Elephas maximus indicus: one gene and its partner. The protein of the gene in region 1 interacts with the protein of each later gene in a pairwise test. Links are inferred from orthologs where the notes say so. Each region holds a gene or a part of one and is shown on either strand. Other genes may lie near its edges.

Region 1 (11,339 bases):
AGATGAGAGATACCAGGATTAGCGGTGCACCAGAGGCAGACTGACCAGGTCAGAAGGCTTTCACTGCCAAGATGAAACTGTAAAATATCTGATGCGTCTAAATGTCTGGAGGCGATTTAGACAACTAGCAAAGAATCTGAAATCAAATTGGTGATGAACATATAGAAAATGAGATCAGAAAGCAAAAAACACACAGTTATTATATCAGTTTCAGATCATAAAATTGCTCAGGAAATCACACCTTGTTCCAAAGCTCAGATGTAGAAAGAATTTACGTAGCCATTGTTATTATGTAAATACAAAATACTGATTTAGTCAAAATTCAGCTAAGTTATATTATAAGGATCAGGGCACAAAAACGATGTATGTTTGATAGGGGTACTTGAAGAGTAAAGAGAGCTAAATGCTTATAATCCATAGTAGAAATTAATAACACCTAAAATAAAAAATAGGGTAGCTATGAGTTGAAATAAATTCGATGGCATCCAGTTAAAATAAAAAAAGAGAAATAGCAACATAAGCGTTTTAAGTATAGTCATGGAAATAAAATACAAAATAAGCAATTAAAAGAGATGAAAACGTTGACCTCCCAGAAAAGAAAACCAGGATGGAGTGGGAAGGGAATTTCTTTGTTTTCTTAACAAATCCCACAGAACTATTTGACTAAGGACCCAAAGTGCTGAGCGTTTATACAAGGGAAAGGTCAGTTTAGCCTCCACAATGATTAGGGAAAATTTACTGCAAAGCTGCTGAATCCTTACCTCACCTCTCTCTACCCTGAAGCTGGTAACAAACTTGGGGAATGCAGTTTAGTTTGGAAAGGGCTCACAGAGGCCTGAAGCAGTCTGAAACAATGGCACATCAACAGTTTGCTTCAACGTACAATCAAAAAATTGACACCTCCACTCTGGAGGACATTCATAGGCCAGGAAACTTTTTGGTTTTTCAATGGCTTTTGTGAAAGACAAGTCTAATCCACCCTAGAACAGGACTACTTCTGCCTCACTGGAACCATATTCTCCTATCATTCCCAGTCCATCCTGATCTAGAACCACATCAACAATGTACATGGGAAAGCAAATTTCATTTACTATTTGGCTCCAAACATTTTATAGCACTTTATTAACTTTATTAATATATCATGAAATAAAAACTGCCAGGATGTCTGCTTTAATGATGCTTTTTATAACAAAAGGGAAGGTATGGTTGAGACCCTCTAGATGGGACGCATAAGAGGTCCATCCCCAGTGACTATGAAACACTCTAATCTGAATAGCTGAACATGAGAAGTAAAACAATCTTATCTCACTGATATTTATATTACCCGCTACCTATATACCTGTGCCCTGCACAATGCAGGCTTTCAGTGTCAGTTGAATAAATGCATGAATAAATTTGAAAAAATAAAAATAAAAAATCATGAGTTAAATGAAAAAAACTGGTTTTCAAACAGAGGCTCACTGCAGCCCAAGTTCCACAAATTCCTAGTAAATGCAACCACTGCAGTGATATAAGCTCTTGAGAACCTAGCCAAATGCTAAAACAATAAAAACCCTGTTGCCGTCAAGTCAATTCTGACTCATAGTGACCCAAAAGGAGAGAGGTGAACTGCCCCATAGAACTTCCAAGGCTGTAAATCTTTATGGAAGTAGACTGCCACAACTTTCTCCTGCAGAGTGGTTGGTGGTTTCCAACCGCCAAGCTTTTGGTTAGCAGCCGGGTACTTAACCACTGTGCCACCAGGGCTCCTGGCCAGGTCCTACAAAATATGCAAAAGTGTAATAACAGGATGCAACTACTACAACAAGCATCTTTTAGATCTCACTATTGCGATGTCTTTACAGTCTACTGGGCATATGCTTTTAATAGACTTATTTTTAAAAGTACAAGCTTAATCCATAATTGTACTCAAGTATACATAAAAATCATTTTTTTTATGTATACTTGAGTCAGAATCCACTCAACAGCAATGGGTTTTTAATGGGTATACACAAAAAAAGTTACATATTAGTGTTACTAATGATTTGGAATATCATAGAATCTTAGAGTTACAAGAGACTCTTAAAGGTCATCTTCAATCCAACGCAAGAATTTGTTCTATAATATTGTTAGTTTAGTCTTACCCTCATAGCTTAGCTGCTCTGCTGCAAAAGCCTCCAAACAGATCTGCTTCCACACTTGCCCTCTCCAATTTACTCTCTACCAGCAATTAGTAAAACTTCTCAACAGGTCAATCAGATCACACTGCTTCCTGCTTGAAATCCTTTGAAGGCTTCCCCTCCACACTCCCTTTTCTCTGCCCTCTTACCATGGCAGGTCCTGGCTCCTGCCAGCTTGTAAGACCTGCCCTCACTTCACCACTCAATCCCTCCTGCCACACAGGGACTTTCCCAATCCAGGGCTTCTGTGTTTGCTCCTCCTGCAGCCTAGACACTCTTCCAGTCCAACCCTTTCCTGATCTGCTCCATGTCATTCTTCAAACATCAGCCTAAATGTCACCTCCTTAGATAGGCTTTCTTCTTCCTTTTTTACGTTTAATTCTATTGTGATGAAAACACACTTAACAAAACTCAGTAACACTGATTATTCCTTTTCCTCAAGTTGTGCAACCATTCTTGCTATTCTTTTCCAAATCATTCCACCACCATTAACACAAACTCAATGCCCCCTAAGAGAAGCTTCCTTCTTTAACATTTTTCTCCATCCAATTCTATATTTGCTTCCTTCATAGTACTTATGTCAATCTGCAATTACTTACTTGCTTTTTTTTTTGATCCATCTTCCTCACCAAACTATAAATAAGCTCCATAAACACAGGGATCTTATTATTTATTCCTCTCCAGATTTCAAACAAACAGGAGGCACTCAATAAATAGTTATCAATTGAATTCAGAGACCCTCACTCAAACTCTGAGTAAATACCCCTAGTGACGGGAGACTTACTACACAACAAAGTACCTCATTCTAATTTTGGTTTTATTTATTTTTTTCTGAACTGAAATCTGCCTTCCAGGTCTTAAATTTCTTTCTATAATCAGTAAAATCAGGGCTGAATCCTTGAACTTTATCTAAACTGAAGGAGTAGTTCTTGACACTTCTTGGATCATGAACCCCTAGAATAATCTTTTGAAAGCAATGGGATCTCTTCTCAAGCAAACAGCACATCCACGCATTTCCATAAGACACGAGGGTATTTCATGTCCTCCTCCCAAGCCCATCAGATATCCCAGAATAAGAAACTCAGACGCGGACAACGAGGGGAGCCAATGCAACTTTTCGCAATGCAATTTTTGAGAACTAAGGTTTTCAAAAATTAAATCTGAGATAAAACTACAGAGAAAATTCAAAGGGAAAAAACATGACTTACTTCAATTGCTAAGTACCTTCACATTTCATTTAAGAGGTTGCACTTGGCATCAATAAATTTTCAACACTAAAAGAAACTTGGGAGATCGTGTTGTCCAAAAGTTTCTCACTTTACAAATAAGAAAACTGTAGCCCCAAAAGGTAATACGCTCGGCCAAGGTCACCCACTCGTTAGTGGTCAGGTTAGGACAAGAAGTCGGGTCTGTGATCCCCCAATGCGATGCTCTTGCCATTTAAATTTCGCTGGTTTCTTACACTGCGCGTCCTGAGCGCCAGAGCTCTCAGAAGTGGGAGAGAACGCTAAGCAGACGGAAGACTGGAAAGAGAGAGGAGAGCAGACAGAGCAGGACAGGGTCACTCTCTTCACACTCGCCCAAAAGCGTGCAACACGGCCAGGAGACAGACCGACTCGCAGCGCTCACCTGTCTGGGGCCCAGAGGCGAGTGGTGCGGTCTCGGGACACGGACACAAAGGCCCCCGGCGGATAGAGACAGCTCACCAGGCCGCGTACGTCCAGCTCGTGGCCCGGGAGCGAGCAGCTCAGCCGGTACTTGGCGGCGCCGCTTGCCATGGCCCGCGTCAGTCCGGCGCCGCGGGACCCGGACGCCGCGCGAGGTCTGTCCCCAGGGGACGCGAGGCGTTCGCCAGGCCGCGGTACTGACGGGATCCGCAGGTGAGGGGCGCCGGGAGACCGGAAGAACCCGAAACCGGTGCGGAAGGGTGGCCGGGAAGGGGCGCGCCGAGCGGGCCGAGTGACACAGCAACCCTGACATACACACCGGAATTCATCATCGGCCTCAGCCCGCCATGACGCAGAGCGTGTGCGCCCCGACTTTCGAATCCAGCGCGACCTAAGGTTCGCTTTCCTCCTGCGCTCTGGACCTCCGGCTGAGAAAGAGACAGCGACACCTGATCTCCTGCCCCGGGTCCATGAAAGCCGGGACAAGACTGTTGTAAATCGAGACGTGGGGCTTGGGGGCCTGGACTACAAATCCCATAATGCCATGCGCCATTGGGGTGTGAACTTCCTGTGCGCTGGGTCCGGATATTTTAAATCTTCATCCCCAGCGCTGCACGCTGTAGAGTGAGGTTGTTCGGTGTCTTGGGTTAGGGGAGACTCGCTGCCTTCTTCCCAAACCTTCTCTGCATATCCTCCTGAAGTTTTAATAAGCTAAGCGTTTTTTTATTAAAACGTGAGGGCTTGGGTCCAAACCTTTAACACTTGCTTTTTTTTCAAGTTACCATGATCTCTGCCCACTATCATCAAACTTAGCAGAAAATTCGGTGGTCCACGTTTATTTTTCATTTGCCTGTTAATTCCCCGGGAGCTCGTTCAAGTGCAGGTTTGGATTCTGTAGGTTTGGGAAGGAGCTGAGAATATTTTTTTAAATTAATTTTTATTGTGCTTTAAGTGAAAGTTTACAAATCAGGTCAGTCTCTCATACAAAAATTTACATACACCTTGCTATACATTCCTAATTGCTCTCCTGCTGACGAGATAGCACAGTACTTCCCTCCACTCTCCTCGTGTCCATTCAGGTAGCTTATGGCCCCCTCTGCCCTCTCGTCTCCCCTCCAGATAGTCTCATGTGACCGCTTGATCCAAGAAGCTGGTTCTTCACCAGATCATTTTCCATCCCCTTATAGGGTCGCTATGAGTCAGAATCCACTCGATGGCACTGGGTTTGGTTTTTTGGTTTTTTATTCCAGTCCAATCCCTTTCTGAAGAGTTGGCTTTGGGAATGGTTCCTGCCCTGGGCTAAGAGAAGGTCTGGGGTCCATGGCCTCCAGGGTCCCTCCAGTCCCAGTCTGACCATTAAGTCTGGTTTTTTTTATGAGAATTTGGGGGTTTCTCTGTTGAGTTCCCTGTCAGGGCAGTCATCGGTTGTGGCTGGTACCATGTAGCTCTTTTGGTCTCAGGCTGATGTAGTCTCTGGTTTATGTGGTTCTTTCTGTCTCTTAGGCTCATAATTATTTTGTGTCTTTGGTGTTCATTCTTCCTTGCTCCAGGTGGGTTGAGACCAATTGATGCGTCTTAGATGGCCACTAGCTAGTGTAAGACCCCAGACGCCACTCTCCAAAGTGGGATGCTGAGAATATTTTTAACAAGCCCCCAGGCGACGCTGCTGGTGTGCAGACTACACCGAGCCTTAAGGATCTACATCACCTGCCTCATTTTCAACTTCCATTACCATTCCATCCACTGTTCCTTTGCATCTAACTCCAATTGTACACAAACCCTCCTAATTTCCAAGTCCAATCCACACTTTTCTGACCTCTCCTTTCTCGAAATTCTCACTCTAGGTTTTGAAGCACTACTCACATAGTTTTTGTTTCTCTGACCTAAGTACTGAAATGTTAGCATTTTAGTATTTCTTCTGCCATCATACCCTCTTCCTGGGTGGACCAGTTAAAACTTTGCTTGTTTCTAAAGCTATATTCCAAGATTGACTTCTCCAAACTCCAGGTCTGTATTTCCAGCTGCCTGCTAGAAATCTCCACCTGCCTGTTTCTTCCTTCAATTATTTCAACATTCTCTACCCCTTCTGCCCCTTTTCTCCATCCAATTCCACACAATCAAAATAGGATTACCTGTCTAAAATATGTTATCTCTTTGCTCAGTAACCTCCGATGTCTTCCCTTCTTAGGTATAGTAATATATAGATAGTCCTGGACTTACAATGGGTTACGTTTTGAGGACTCTGTCATAAATCTTTTTTTTTTTTAAATAAGTTTTCATTATTATTGCCTTTTATTATCAATGTCTTTATAAAATCGGTCTGTATTTGTCTTTGAGGGTTGGCAAGAGAAGAACATCAGCCAGTTATGCACTACAAATTGTATGTAGTACATATTATTAATGATAAGATGATTTTAAAAAAAGTCGTAAATCAGGGCCTACCTGTACAAGGCTTTTTATACTACTTCCTCAATCTATTTTACTAGATTCTCCATTATCTTCATGAATCTCTTACCCCAGCCACAATGAATTTCTCAATTCCCTGAACACATCATGCTGTCTCCGGTTTCCACGTTCTTTGTACATGGCTCTTTTTTTTTTTTTTTTAACCTGGAATGCCATTCTTTCTCCATTTGGCCTATTACCACACCAGTTTAATTATCATCTGGCTCCTTATCCTTTGAGGAACAATGCAATTTTATTTATCTGCATTATAGCATATACTGCCTTCTAATACATTCATTTCTGTCTTTGTCTTTTCCTCCAGACTAAATTTCCCTCAGTACCTGTAATGGCTTTCTTTATCTTCAAATCCTAAGCGTCCAGTTTAGTACCTCACACTGATTAGGTCCTTAATAAATGTTTTTCAACTTTGTATATTATTTCGTTTACAAAGCAATTTTCACATAGTCTCTCATTTAATCCTCACAATAGCCCTTTAATGTAGATAATATTATTATCCCCAACTTACAAATGAAGAATTAGCCTCCTCCATGGGTAGTGCTCCAAAGTGTTTGTTGATTAAATTAGTTAATGGATGAATAAATGAATGGAGCTGAGACTGACCTTAAATTCTGTGAATACTAAACTGGGTCCTTGGTACTTTTTTCCTAATTATACTATTCTCTATGCGTTTAAAAATTGAAAGATTTAAACAAATATTTTCATTCAGTTGTCACATCTGCATACAAATAACTAAATGCTGGGACCTCCTCCAACATGCCTGAAGGCATTAAGGGAGAAAACTCTGTAATGGCAGTAGGTTCTCTCATACATGGAATAATCGGACAGCTAGCTGTAAACATTGCAATTTAAGTTCTCAGTGTGATGTTTTCAGACTCATAAAACCGAAAAACCCAGTGCTGTTGATTCAATTCCGACTCATAGCAACTCTGTAGGACAGAGTAGAACTGCCCCACAGAGTTTCCAAGGAGCGCCTGGAGGATTCGAACTGCCAATCCTTTAGGTTAGCAGCTGTAGCCCTTAACCACTATGCCACCAGGGTTTCCTTCAGACTCATAGCGACCCTAAAGGACAGAGTACACCTGCCCTGTAGGGTTTCCAAAGAGCACGTGGTGGATTTGAACTGCCGACATTTTGGTTAGCAGCTGTAGCTCTTCACCGCTATGCCGCCAGGGTTTTATATGATTTAGTAAGGAGCCCTAAATCCACTGTTATTGTTGTTAGGTGCCATTGTGTTGGTTACAGCTCATAGCAACCCATCTGTACAACAGAACAACACATCGCCTGATCCTGCACCATCCTCACAATCTATATTTGAGCCCATTGTAGTCACAGTGACAATCCATCTCACTGAAGGTCTTCTTCTTTTTCGAGGATAGCCTTCTCCAGGTACAAGTCCCTCCTGATGACATGTCCAAATATGTAAGACAACGTCTCACCATCCTTGCTTTTCAGGAGCATTCTGGTTGTACTTCCAAGACAGATTTGTTTGTTCTTCTGGAAGTTCGTGGTATATTCAATATTCTTCACTGGCATCACAATTCAAACGCATTAATTCTTCTTTTATCTTCCTTGTTCATTGTCCAGCCTTCACATGCATATGAGGTGATTGAAAACACCATGGCTTGGATCAGGTGCACCTTAGTCTTCGAGGTGACATCTTTGCATTTCAATGCTTTAAAGAGGTCTTTTGCAGCATATTTGGCCAATGCAATGTGTCTTTTGATTTCTTGGCAGCTGCTTCCATGGGTGTTGATTTTGGATTCAAGGAAAATGGAATCCTTGACAACGTCAATGTTTTCTCCATTTATCATATTGTTGCTTATTGGTCCAGTTGTGAGGATTTTTGTTTTCTTTACATTGAGGTTGTCCTAGAGTAAAATCACAACAAAGTTATAGTAAAGCAAGAAGACGGATTTTATTCTGCCTGTGTTCCAAGAGACAAAAATAGGAAAAGGACAAGTATGCTGCCAGAGCCATGCAACCCGTGTCCAATGAATGTTACTGAATCATCAGTATGTACAGACATTACAAATGGGTAAAACCATTAAAAGTTTCACCTTTTCATAGATTGGCTGAAAACTGTAAAATCCTCATGATTGTATGTTTTGAATTGTCTTTCTTAATAATAATTGGTACAAGTTCAGCAAAAACAGTCAGGAAACTGTGTGAGTCTTTTGTGTTCTAAGTATTTGTTTATATGAAAGCTTTCTTAAAAGATGTTTTCCAAGATGGTCCTAGCTATTGTTGTCCTTGTGAGTTCCTGTGATTCTAGCTCTACCTGGGTCACAGTCTTTATATTTAAGGACAGGGAATAATTGATCCAATTTTGACCCCTAAGTCACTCCCTCCTTTGATTGGAGATTGGAGATAGCATATGGATGAACAAAACCTGGACTTAGTCAGGTTCCTAGATGACAATCATGGCAAGTTCTTTAAGCTCATGGTGTTGGTTTTCCACTGGATACCATCTGGTTCTTCACCAGGATCTTAAGAAAAGGTGACATTCTGATCAATCCCATTGTAAAAATGAGCAGAATCGTTTTACATCAACACCTTAACCCAAACCTTTCTTTTGCCTTTTGTTATCATTAAGGTTGCGTGTCAACTTGGCTGGGCCATGATTCTCAGTGGTTTGGCAGTTATGATGTACATTGGCAGTCTTATAATGTTGTGACCACTTCCATGATGAGATCTGATATAATGCGATCACCTCCATGATGGGATCTGTTATAAGCAGCCAATCGGTTGAAAGGAAGTTTCCTTGGGGTATGGCCTGCATCCAGTATAGGTGAACTTTCTGGCAAAACTTTTAGGCTACTGCTCATTCTGGATCGTGCAGCTGGCTCCTGTTCATCTGACCTCTGGTGCTTGGAATTTGAGCTAGAAGCTTACCTGCCAATCTTAGGATATGATGGCCTCTGCAGCCTGTGAGCCAAAGGCCTGTTGCCTCACTTGCCAATCTTGAGTTCACCAGCTTCTGCAGCTACAAAGTCAGGAGAAGCCTCCAGCCTGACCCACGGACTTGGGACTTTCCAGCCTCTACAACTGCATGAGCCACTTCCTTGATATTTTTATAAATGCTGGTCTTGCTTCTCTGGAGAACCCATCCTGTAATGATTTGCCCAATTCCAGAATGGGTAATTGGAATAGATATACTCAGCAATTAGAAGAACCCCCACATTGGATCCCTGACAAGTGGAGTAAGGGCTATTACGGTAGGAAAAACCAAGTGGAAGCCATTAGGAATGCCCCTACTTAGGAAAATAGTAAGCGAAAAATAATATTGCATTCCTGGAGGGATTGCAGAGATTATTGCCACCAATTCCTGGAGCCTTGTTTTTTGCCATTGCCTTCAGTGCAGCTTGGATTTCTTCCTTCAGTACCGTTGGTTCTTGATCATATGCAACCTCCTGAAATGGTTGAATGTTGACTGATTCTTTTTTGTATACTGTCTGTGTATTCCTTCCATATTTTTTTGATGTTTCCTTCATCATTCAGTGTTTTTCCTATAGACTCCTTCATGGATTGAATTACGTCTACCCAAAAATGTGTGTATCAACTTGGTTAGGCCATGATTCCCAGTATTCTGTGGTTGTCCTCCATTTTGTGATTGTAATTTTATGTTGAGAGGATTAGGGTGGGATTATAACACCACCCTCACTCAGGTCACCTCCTTGATCCAGTGTAAAGGGAGTTTCCCTGGGGTGTGGCCTGCACCACCTATTATCTCTCAAGAGATAAAAGGAAAGAGAAGCAAGCAGAGAGTTGGGGACCTCATACCACTAAGAAAGCAGCACCAGGAGCAAAGCACTTCCTTTGGACCTGGGGCCCCTGCGCCTAAGAAGCTCCTCGACCGTGGGAAGATTGAGCACAAGGACTTTCCTCCAAAGCCGACAGAGAGAGGCTTCCCCGTAGAGCCAGCACCCTGGATTTGGACTTGTAACCTACTAGGCTGTGACAGAATAAATTTCTCTTTGCTAAAGCCATCCACTTGTGGTATTTCTGTTATAGCAGTACTAGATGACTGATACAGGCCTTAAATATACTAGTTCCTCCAATTGCAAAGTACTTTAAAGTAGCTATTGATGGCTTTAATTTTAGCATTGTGATCCTTTATTGAGAAACTATCATAAAACAGGTCCAGAGCCACCATCTCCCCCTGGGCATTTCATAAAACAGGAGAGGAACTGCCACTTCCCCCTGTGAATTGGCATCTATTATCTTTCAAGATTTGATGATTCTACAAAAATGGGTGCCTACAAAAATTTTTAGAATTTCAAAGCAAAGCATTACTTTTGATTTCTCAGAGGCAAGACAAAATCAGCTGAAAAGACTTTGAGATCCTTTGTAATAACTTTTATCAAGCCAATTTGTGCACCAAAATCCAGGTCAACCTAAAAAGACAAACAGAAACAAAAGTAAAAATACAGGGCCAACAACAACAACAAAAAACCCCAAAGAGCTAAAAGACATTTCAGCGTGAGTGTAAGAACACTTTCCACCAATTTTAATTTATTTTAGATCCCTTTGCTTCTAATTTACATCTTAAAATGACTAATGTGGTCAATTCAAAAGTTCTCTGTGATGGTTAAGGTTGTGTATCAACTTGGCTGGACCATGATTCTTAGTGGTTCGGTACTTAGGATGTAGTTTGGCAGCTATGTAATGATGTAATTACCTCCATAATGAGATCTGATGTAATGTAATCACCTCCGTAATGAGATCTGCTATGAGCAGCCAATCAGATGAAAGAGCATTTCCTTGTGGGTGTGGCCTGCATCCAATATATGTGGACTTTCTGACAAAGCTTGCTGGCTTTTGCTCGGTCTGGATCCTCATCAGACCTACAGTTCTTGGGACTTGAGCTAGTAGCTTACCTGCTGATCTTGAGATTCGTCAACTTCCACAGCCTGTGAGCCTAAGTCCTGCTGTCTGACCTGCCAATCTTGGGTTCACCAGCTCCTGCAGCTACGTGATACAGAAGTCTCCAGACTGACCCACAGACTTGGGACTTTCCAGACTCTACAACCCTGTGAGCCATTTCCTT
Region 2 (10,613 bases), on another chromosome or scaffold:
AATCAGAGCCATCCTGAAAAATCTTGTAGCCGGAGACATAGAGAAGATACTCTAGGCTCCTCCTGTCCTGTGAGGCTGCGGAGGGGCACCTAGCACTTACCATGTGCCATGATGGATTTAGAGAGGTTGACTAGCTATTGGGGGGTAGTGAGGGGTATATATATATGTATATATATATATATATAATTTTTTTTTTTTTTGAGTCAGACAGATCTTGGTTCAACTCCTGCAAGTTATAAAACCTCTCCAAGCCTCAGTCCTGATCTATAAAAGGTGGTAACTATGCCTTGGTGGTTGCTGTAAAAGTTAACTTAGAAATACAAAGTGTAGTGCCTGGCACAGATAGCACAAGCACTCAGTAAATGTAGGTCCCCCCCTCCTTAGGGTTTTCACTGTAAGAGTTTCCAATCTCTGTGAATCTACAGGATCTGTTGGAGATGCCACTGAGGGATGAGATAAAGTAGTGAGGTCCCAAGCCCTATACCCAAGTCAATGAAGCCACTCCTCTTTTGGTTATTTTCTATCCTAAGTAAGAATTCAGTTGGAAAAAGGCTGCTTTTATTAAATAAACTGAGAACACTAAATAAAGCTTGGTAGCTGAGCTCAGAGCCCTGGTAGCACAATGGTTAAGAGCTCAGCTGCTAACCAAAAGGTCAGCAGTTAGAATCCACCAGCTACTCCTTGGAAACCCTAGGAGGCAGTTCCACTGTGTCCTGTAGGGTTGCTATGAGCACTGGTGCTATCTCCAGCTGCCAGATGGTGGAGCTGTAAGCAAAATGTTGGAATTGAGTTGACAATAGGTTTGGGTCTGGTTTTGGTTTAGCCCTGAGGTGTAAACCCAGCTATGAGCACTGGTGCTATCTCCAGCTGCCAGATGGTGGAGGTGTAAGCAAAATATACTCGTGCGTGATCTTTCCAGTGTTACTTATGGCCAGCCTGGGAATAAGAAGCAAGACGTTGGCAGCTGTTTAAGGGAGCACTAGAGTCATGTGATGAGCAGCGGTGAGAGGGACTGCCATGGAGAAGTGTGGTTGGAGCCTGAGCCCGAAAGTCAGGGGCTTCCCAGGTGTGTGTTCAGGTTCTACTACTTGCTAGCTGTGTCAATGTGGGCAAGTCATGTGCTTTGGTATCCTAATCTCTTAAATGGGAGACTTGTACCTACACCTGGATAATAGTGCCCTCATATCTGTTATTACATATAAAGCACTCAGTACCTTCTGATGTCATGATGAGGAAAGCACGAGTGTGGTTTATGACTTACTCTTAGAGCACAAGCGATGCACTTACAAAAGTCACCCTAATGCTCCTCTTGACATTTGTAGGGACAGCCACATTTAAAAAAAAAAAATCTCATTTTAGTAGCTAATACTTATTAGGTGCAAGACACATTGCTAAAACACCTTATAGCGGTGTTATTTAATCCTCACAATTCTTAAGAAACAGGTACTATTATCCCCATTTTACTAAAGAAAAAACTAGGATTAAGTCAAGCTGCAAAGCTAGTAAGTGACTGTGGTACAATGAATTACTTAATGTGGCCCTTCTAGCCACAGTCTTTGTGACTCACACGCAGTGATTGAGTGGGACTGTGCAGATAAGGTATATGGAACCTGTGGTGGCTGGGGCTGTGTGTAAACTTGGCTAGGCCATGATTCTCAGTATTGTATGGTTGTCCTCCGTTTTGTGTGTTGTAAATCCTAACCTCTATATGTTAATGAGTCAGGGTTACTATGGGGTATACTTTGAGACACAGCCTTAAGTCCCACATTACTCAAGTCACACCCTTCTCTGGGGTGTGGCGTACATTTAAGGTACATATGTGGGTGCTCCAGTGGGGCTCTTTTTCTTCTGCATCAGGACCCTGCCTCTAGTTTATTACTGCCTAACCTCCAGTTGTTGGTACTTGAGCCAGAGGCCTGCCATCTGACCTGATTTGCCAGCTTCCACAGCATCCTGAGCCAGTACCCTGGGGTGTAACCTGCCGGTTTAGGTTTATCATTCCCTGCAGCTGTGTGGGTCAGGAGAAGCCTACACTTGACCCATGGATTTGGAACTTGCCAGCCTCTACAACTGTGAGCCATTTCCTTGATACAGTTGGTAAGTTCTGTGAGACGCTGTAGAGAATTATGGAACCTAAAGACGGGAGGAGTAGTAGCTGATGTTAAAGATGATGGAGTGGGACAGCAGTTTGGAAAAGTTTGACATTTGGGAAATCTTTAACCTCTGCCTCATAGGTACCAGCTTTGTGCTGATCCTTATATTCACTTAGTGACAAAATCTGGATTTTAAGCGTATGTATATACTGGCTCTCACTCATGGTAACAAAAGGTACCATCCACTATATACTCCCTACTCTCCAGCACCCCCAGCCTCTCCAGCAACTAGCTAATCAGACCAGGGGGAATAAAAACAAGTTTTTTTTTTGTTGGAAACTAAAGATGTGAACAAGGGGCTATTCCAATGCCTTCCCTTTAGCTCCCTCCTCTGCCTCCATTTGTCCATCCCAACCATTCAGGAAGGAGTCAAGCACGTACAGAACTCAGAAGATCTATTTATTAGGAAGAGGATGTCAGTGCTTTATCAAAGATGAAGAGGTCAGAGAGGGATGGTAGGATAAAAGCCCCTCAACTGGGACATTTCTTGGCCACGATGAGGACGGCAGAAGGCACAAGTCCTGAAGACAGAAGAAAACAGGCTTGAGCCACAACGATACCTACTCTTTGCCCCAAAGGTTCCTGGCCTCACATCATCTCCAAAGCTCCTTCTCATCAAATCCCTTCCCTTCCTAGGCATGTCCCTCTACCCCCGAGCGCTCCTTTCTGGTCCTACATGCCATACCCAGTTCCTGCAAAGGCCGTTCCATGTCAGCCTCTGAGAAGGCCCGTCGGGGGAAGCCACTAAGCAACTGCACAGGGTCCTGGCCCCCTCCTGGCTCCTCCCCACGGTGAAGCTCCACATAGAGTCTCACGGCGGCCAGCTGTTCCCTGGCCCGGAACGTCTGGGTCAGTGAGGTCCCATCTGGCAGCCTGACCTAGAAGGTAAGGAAGAGGTACCGTATTGTGGTAGTCAAGACTGAGTGAGGGGCCCCAGTACAGAAAAGCTGAAGTGGGCCCATCCTTCCTAGAGAGATTGAACCAGCGCTATTATTATTTAGAGCACCTAATGACAACCACTTATACTCTGCTTTATTAAATGCTGGAAAAAAAAACTCCCACCTCCCTTACAATTTGAGAAGACAAAGACGAGATTATATAAAAATACGTGAGTAGATATATTACCCGAGTAACTGTGCAATAAACCAAATAAAAGCCATGAACAAGAGTAATTGCTGAGTAAGAGAGCGGTATTATGGATTTAAATAAGACTGGGACAGATGAAATTCGATACCTCCTCTGAGAGGAGAGGAGGTAGGATTTCAAAAGTCATTTACAAAAAAGGGAGAGGTTTGGCAAAAGGAACATAACTGAAAAAAACCCTAAGCCGGGCACCTTACAGACCAAGGAAGGGTCCCAGGAGTGAGAAAGAAATCAGTCAGTACCTGTATGCGACACTGGTCGTACTCCCGCTTGGTGGGAGGCTCCTGGCTGGGAGAGGAGGGAACAGGACCTGGCTCTGTTGCTGATGGGGATGGCTGAGAACCCACAGTACCACCATACTAGAAGACAAAGTAAAACACTCCATTGGGCACTCACCGGCTCAGGAGAAACACATCATATATAAGCCCATCCTTTCCTTCTGAAGCTGGAAGAGGGGATCCAATCGCCCACCTTCTTGGCTCTCTCGGCTTTATCCCTTTCAATCTTTTCTCGAACCCTTTGTCTGGAAGGCAGAAAGGAAGAAAGTAGGTCAGCCACTGACAAAGCAAATTTTGATTTATTTTCTCCCCTCTAATCCAATATCCCGATCACACAGACCTGGCTGCTAACTCTTCAGCCTTTTCCCTCTTCCGCTCCTCAGCAGCCCTGCGCATCTCATCTTCCTGTAGCCGCTGTCGGGCAGCTGACAACTCCTGCCCTTGTCTCCTGCGCTGCCGTTCCCGTTCCAACGCCTCCCGCTCCTCTCTTTCTTCACGTTCCCGTTGCTTCTGGGCCACCAGCTCCATCATCCTGTGTTGCAGCAAGGATAGAGCTCAAGAGAAATGGACGTTGAGTGGGGACGTGAATTTATGACAATTAGCCTGGAAAACAAAATCAGGGAACATCTATCCCAAAATAAGTGAAAAAAACAAAATGGAAACTGCCCAAAAAAAGAGTGGGAAGAGAAAGTTCAAGCTTCTTAGACCAGACTTCTGTACTGGAGAGAGATGGAAGATGACCCCCAGATTGTGAGACTGTGCCTTACTGTACCTTTTAGTCTGTTCCTGTTTCTCCTCTTCACTCAAACTGGGTTTTCCTTCTCCTGCGGTAGACCCGGGTCCTACAAACAAGCCACCAGTATTATTGCCTTCTGTATTTTCCAGGCCCCCCACCCCACAATAACCACAGCTCGTCCTCCAGTCAGGACCTGCAGGGCCACCGTGCTCTGAAGAGGTGGGTTCCCGTCCCAGGACATGTCCAAGGGGAGTCGCTAAAGGTTCGTCCACATCGGGGTCGTCTTCGTGCTCCATCAGCCTGGCAGGGAGGGTCGGGAGACAGGTTGGCGCTGAGGCTGCCCCCTCCGAGCAACCCCCAACCGCTGGCCACCTAGTCGAAGCACTCACCAGTCCATCGCGGCCTCGATGCCCTGGTTCCCCGTGAGGGCCAGAGCCTTCTCCCTGAGAGCAAAAACACCGTGAATAGCGCCGAGGAGCCATGGTGCTGGACAAGCCGGGGCGCAGGGCTGGAGGCCGGACGGGGCTATAGGCCGGGGCGGGTCTGCGCCCTGCCGCGGCCCGGGGCTGGGGGATCCCTTACGCGCGTCCCCTGGGGAAGCCCATCTCGATGAGACTCTCCAGAGCCGTCAGCTCCGCCATGGCGCCGTCGCCGCCGGAGCCTGAGAAGACGAGGAGGAGGGCGGGGGCGGGTCACCGCGGGGCGCCCCTGGCCCGCACGCAAGGCCGCCCCGACGCCGCGGCCCGGGCCCTTGCTCGCTCGCTCGCTCACCGGGCTCTGGGTCCGCCGCGGACACCGACAAGAAGAAAGCCGAGGGGAGGCGGAAGTGCCCGAATCTGTTTGGGTCACGTGGGAGCGGCCGTGGACGGGTGCTGCGGAGAGACAGAAAGCACGTGCCTGGTTTGGCGGCCGGAGCCTAGCGCGGGCGGGGCGGGGCGGGCGGCGCTGGGAGGCGGCGGTGGGGAGGACGGACGACGCGGCCATGAAACCCGTGGGCGGGGTGGGGCCAGTTCCCGGGAGTTAACGCTGCCTCACCCTTTTTAGATATTAAGAGGAATCTGGCCCATTAGCTCAACCATCAGCAGAGTTATTTGGCAGTGTTTATCAGGAGCCGTAGAAATGTGCACACTCTTTGACCCACTCATCCTCTCCGGGGAATTGAGCCATCCTCCGCCCACCTGCCAGAGGGATCTTTGCAAAAAAACAGGATCTGATCCTGTCTTCACCTTCCTGCTTAAAATTTCTCCAGGACACCCCAGTTACCCAGAACAACACTCAAATGCTGATTTGCCTTCCTCCCCCTGTCCCCTTTTTATGTTAGGGCACCTACCTTAGGTGCCTGGCAAGACAGTGTTGTATAAATGTTGATTGTTATTACGCAATTTCACCTCCCACCACTTCAGGGTAACCTGTGTATGTTACAAAACAGAGCCTTCTCCTTCCTCCTGGCCTTTGCATCTGCTAGTCCCTCTGGGGTGCCCTGCCTCTTCTCAGGGCTTCCTTAACTCCCCGTCATTTTTCTGGACTCAACTCAAGGTTTGCTTTCTAAGGGAAGCCTGCTTTGAGCACCCCTCTCTGGTCCCAGCTCTAGTATTTACCCCATTATACATTTTTACCCCTCCTTTGTAGTCTTCGTTGATTGCTTAGCCCTCCACCACTACCCAGGCTGTTAGATCCCTAAAGGTTGTTGTTAGTTGCTCTCAAGCCTACTCTGACGCACGGCGATCTCATATACAACAGAACAAAACACTGCCTGGTCCTGTGGTATCTTCACGCTCCTTGGTATGCTCCAGTCCATTGTTGCCACCTCTGAATGTTCGGAGTGCCTTCAACCTAGGGGGCTCATTTTCAGCCCTGAAGGTGGAGATACGCTTATTGCACAGTGCCTGCTACAAAGTCAAGCTCACTTTGTTTCTTAGGAGGCAGAGCAATAATAAATTACTGATGCTGATAATATATTACCCACTGGAGACTGTTATATGATTAATTCATTTAATCATCATAGCAATCCCTATGATGTATTATTAGTCACAGGAAACAGACACTGAAAGATGAGATAATTTACCTAAGGTCACAAGCTGATAAGTAGGAGAGCCAGCATTTAAACCCAGAAGGTGTTCATTCATTAAACCACTAAACGTTGTTTCTCCGTGGTGGAGAGGAGAGCATCCGCTTTGGCGTTGGGCAGCTTAGGCCCAAATCCTAGCTCGACTCCTTGGTTGTATCTTCAAACCATTTAGAACCTTGGATTTTTCACCTGTGAAATGATTGTAGTGAAGATTGAGAATGCATGTAAAGCACGTCTTTAATAATGAGATAACAGGCTCTGTCATTATTCATAAAGGGATGAATGCTGAAGAAATACAGGAATTAAACTAGAAGGTACAAGTTATTCACTGCAGTGTGATAACAGGTGTATTTTAGAAAACAAATGCATTTTGAATTTATTCTAGAGTCTCTGTAAGAAGCGAATGGTTAAAACTTACGGTGCTGCCTTTTTGACCTACTTTCAGGTAAGTATCCTATAGAAATACTCTCACAAAACATTTGAAGATGCACAAACAAGGATGTTCATGGAAAACCCTGAAGACAACTTAAAGGTTCCGACAAAGAGCAATGGCTAAAGTCAGTTAAGGAGCATCCTCCTACGGAAATGTATGCAGCCATCAACATACCTCGTTTACTGACATGGAACTTTGTCCGTGATATATTGCCTGAAAAAGCAAAATATTTGCATTGCATAGAGAAAGACTTCTCTGCTAAGTGCAATTAGCTCTTGAGGAGAACTGCGACTTTATATTTGCCAATATTCCTTGAAATTTGTATATTTCTTTTATTATGAAAACATGTTATAAGGCCAGTAAAGTTCCCTGGGTGGCACACGACTAATAACCTCAAGGTTGGAGGTTCCAACCAACCCAGCAGCACCGAGGAAAAGAGGAAAAAAGGCCTGGCAATCTGGTTCTGTAAAGATTATAGCTCAAAAAACTATATGAAGCAGTTCTACTCTGTAACACATGGGGTTGCCATGAATTGGAGTCGATTAGATGGCATCAGGTTTGGTTTTTGTTTTTTTAATGCAGCAACGTAAAATAGACTTTTCTGTGCCCAGTTAATTTAAACATAAATTCAAAAGTTTGTGTGTATCACTCTGAAAAATAGATGTGTGGATAGGGGATTGAAAAAAACATGAAAATGGAAATATCTGTCTTTTAAGCTTCCTTTAATGTCGTTAATGATGCACAATAAACACAAGTGGGGGTGGAAAAGGGGGAAATCCCCCCCCTTTTTTTTTTAAACAAGCAGAACAGATGGTAGTTCAGGCAATCCCTCCCTTTTTGCCAATGCATCAGACTTTTATTTCTACCCTTAGACACAGGTGGACTCTGACTCGGATGTGTTCATCCTTAATAACTGAACAAAAAGGCAGAAGGAGAAGGGGGTGGTCTCTGTCCTCAGACTCCCATCCTGCAGAAGCTTATATTCTCAAAGTCCCACTGAGGCCACCCAAAGTGGCAGACCCCTTTTGAGAGTGTAAGACAGAAAGCTGTATAACTACAGCCCAGCAGGCCAAATCTGGTCTGCTGTCTGATTTGTAAAGGCTACAAGCTAAGAATGGTTTTTATATTTTTAAATGGTTACATTTCAAATGGTTATATAAGTACCTACATACTAAAAACGCAAAAAATCCTTGATTTTATCCTCTTCAATGGCAAAGCCTATGTTATTTACTATCTGACCCTTTAAAAAAAATTGCCGACCCCCGTTCTGTTGTCTGGTCCCTGGGTGGCGAAAATGTTTTGCCCTGGACTACTAACTGAAAGGTTGGCAATTCAAATCCACCCCGCTGCGTTTCAGAAGAAGGGCTTGGCTCTGTTTCAGCAAGGTTACTGCCTTGAAAACCCTAGGGGGTGCATTTCTACTCTGAAGCACATGGGGACGCCATAAGTCAACAGGTTTGTTGCTTATTTTTTTTTGGTCTATAGTCTTCCTTCAATCTCAGCCAGAAACAAAGTGACAAGTGTGGGACCTAAGGAAGCTCTCAGACCAGAGAATTGGGCACCTGGGGCCTGCAGCTCAGCGCACAACCTGGTGCTCCGCCATCCAGCTCCAGCGGGTCGCGAGCCAGGCTGCAGAGGCCATCTCCGGCTCCTCCCCTGGGTCTGGGCTGAGCTCCCCAGGTGGGGTTTGGCTTTGCCAGAGAGGCCCCAAGGCCCCTTCAGAGCCCCTCTGCGGCCCGGGCTTGGCGGCGGGGACAGCCCCAGCGCTCCCGTAGGCAGAAGTGCCAGACCAGGGCCGAGCAGCTGAGCAGGGCCAGGCCTGTGCCCACGCCCACGGCCGCATGGACCAAGGTGAGCGGCCTGGGGGGCACGGCAAGCCGGCCGCAGGGCCCGAAGGCAGGAAAGTTGGCCCCCGTGAGGCTCTCCCCGTCGGCCCGGGGCACGCTGCTTTCTCCTGCCTCGTTGGCAGCCACCACACAAACGATGTAAGCCCCCCCAGCCTTCAGTCCCTCCAGTTCTGCTCTTCGGACGGTAGAGTTCAGGGGGGGCCCCTTTTGGGGAGCCCCGCTGCCTTCCCAAAGCAGCAGCCAGTATTGGTGGACGGGGGAGAAGGGAGCACACCAGTGGACCAGCGCCCGGCCCTCCTCGGCCACCACGTGCACTTCTCCTAGGCGAGGTGGGTCTGGTGGCTGGGAGGGGCTGGAGAGTCCAGGGCACAGGCAGGCCGTGGGCCCGGCCCTCTGCAGCTCCTTGCAGGGTACCTGCAGGTGGCGGCAGCGGTCATAGTCACAGGGGACAGGCTGGGAGGGTGGCCTTGGAGTCTCATCTTCCTCCTTTTCCTCAAAGTCTTGAGGAGCCAAGGGCTGAGCTCTGGGAACCAAGGAGAAGGTCACGACCAGGAGCCACAGTAGGCAGGGTGAGCCCAGCATGGAGTCTGGAAGCAATAGGTAAAGCTGTTTAGACTCCACGTCTCCCAGGCCCCATGCCTCAACAAAACTTCCAAAGACGGGGACATAGAACTAGGGGCCATGACAGGAGCCAGAAAAAGGTGGGAATGAGACAAGACGCACTCACTTGTCAGCCAGCTTCTGCACCCAGGCTACATGCTCGGTTTTGGACAAAAAGGAACAAAATACGGTCGGGCATGTGAGAGAGACGGAGACAGAAGTGAGACCAGCAAGGAGTGATGTGCTAGAAACAGTTGATGAATAAACAAAGTGCTGGGGCAAGAAGAGGAGGGGGTGACTGACTCAGCCTAGGGAGGGAGAGGTGGAACGACTCCCAGCTGCCACAAAGAGAAAAGACCTAAGTAAAACAAACATCAGTCGGCGACATATATGAAAACCGAGAAACGAGACACGAGTGAGAAAGAAGAGGTGGAACCAAAGCCAAACCATTGTGGTCAAGTGGATTCTGACTCATAGTGACCCTATAGGACAAGAGCAGAACTGCCCCCATAGGGTTTCCAAGGCAGTAAATCCTTACGGAAGGAGACTGCCACATCTTTCTACCTCAGAGTAACTGGTGGGTTCGAACTGCTGACCTTGCGGTTAGCGGCAGAGTACTTAACCACTGTACCAGGGCTCTTCCAGATATGGAACAGGAGGAAATAAGGACCCCGGACTCCTCACCCCCCACCTGTTACGGGTACCACTCCTGTCCAAGCAGTCCTGATCCTGTCTGTTCACCACCTCCCCTCACCCCTCCCTGGCCCACAGAGGCTTCTCACCAGTAAGACTTTGGAACCAGAGATCAGCAGTCTGTGGGGATCAGGCTGAGGGGTCCACAAGATCGCAGGCTGTACGGCCGGGTTTTGTGTCTTCCGATTTCAATTCTCTCTTGGTTAGAAGCTTTTATACCCTTCAGCTGTGATATCACCACCTAGCCCCCTCCCTCTGACCCCCACCCGGTGAGTGCCTGAGTGCCAAGAGGAGGGCTGGCCCCTTCAGAGTGCCTGAGTCACGGGGCCAGGGAGGGGAAGCCACATGCAGAGGTTTCAGCTGGAGGCCAGGACGCCTGGGTTCTGAAAAGCGAGTGGAATGTGGAAAGCAGCCAGCCAGGAGCCCAAGGCTGGAGTCATGGAAAGGGGTGGGGAGGGGAGCATGAGGTTGAGGGCCACTTGGCTGGTACCAGAGAGGAAAACAGCTGTGGACAGCATGGGGCCCAGCCAGACTACAAAATGCTGTTTCTCTAAAACACCGCATCCATGGCAGTCATTTCCTGCCTTCTGCCTCCCAATGGACAGTCAAAGGGAGGGGTGCTGAGGTCAGAGTGAGTATTCCAGCCCTCCAGAGCTACCCTC

What was found.
Region 2: the proteins of PLAA (region 1) and UBXN1 interact in binary tests that used the Homo sapiens proteins (3 or more experiments, as listed by UniProt). The two-hybrid records come from large-scale screens. The link is inferred for Elephas maximus indicus from reciprocal best matches to the Homo sapiens genes PLAA and UBXN1.

Annotation. Positions count from the first base shown.
Region 1 is NC_064827.1:36,632,813-36,644,151, forward strand, and holds the start of PLAA (phospholipase A-2-activating protein), read right to left. Parts: upstream 4,336-11,339; 5' UTR 3,938-4,335; coding exon 3,789-3,937; intron 1-3,788. UniProt on the Homo sapiens protein: Plays a role in protein ubiquitination, sorting and degradation through its association with VCP. Involved in ubiquitin-mediated membrane proteins trafficking to late endosomes in an ESCRT-dependent manner, and hence plays a role in synaptic vesicle recycling.
Region 2 is NC_064825.1:125,850,414-125,861,026, forward strand, and holds UBXN1 (UBX domain-containing protein 1), read right to left. Parts: upstream 5,182-10,613; 5' UTR 5,082-5,181; intron 4,972-5,081; 5' UTR 4,952-4,971; coding exon 4,893-4,951; intron 4,754-4,892; coding exon 4,700-4,753; intron 4,611-4,699; coding exon 4,504-4,610; intron 4,417-4,503; coding exon 4,347-4,416; intron 4,107-4,346; coding exon 3,915-4,106; intron 3,820-3,914; coding exon 3,768-3,819; intron 3,656-3,767; coding exon 3,539-3,655; intron 3,032-3,538; coding exon 2,839-3,031; intron 2,675-2,838; coding exon 2,625-2,674; 3' UTR 2,517-2,624; downstream 1-2,516. Other genes in the region: LRRN4CL (LRRN4 C-terminal-like protein), read right to left, coding at 8,530-9,240.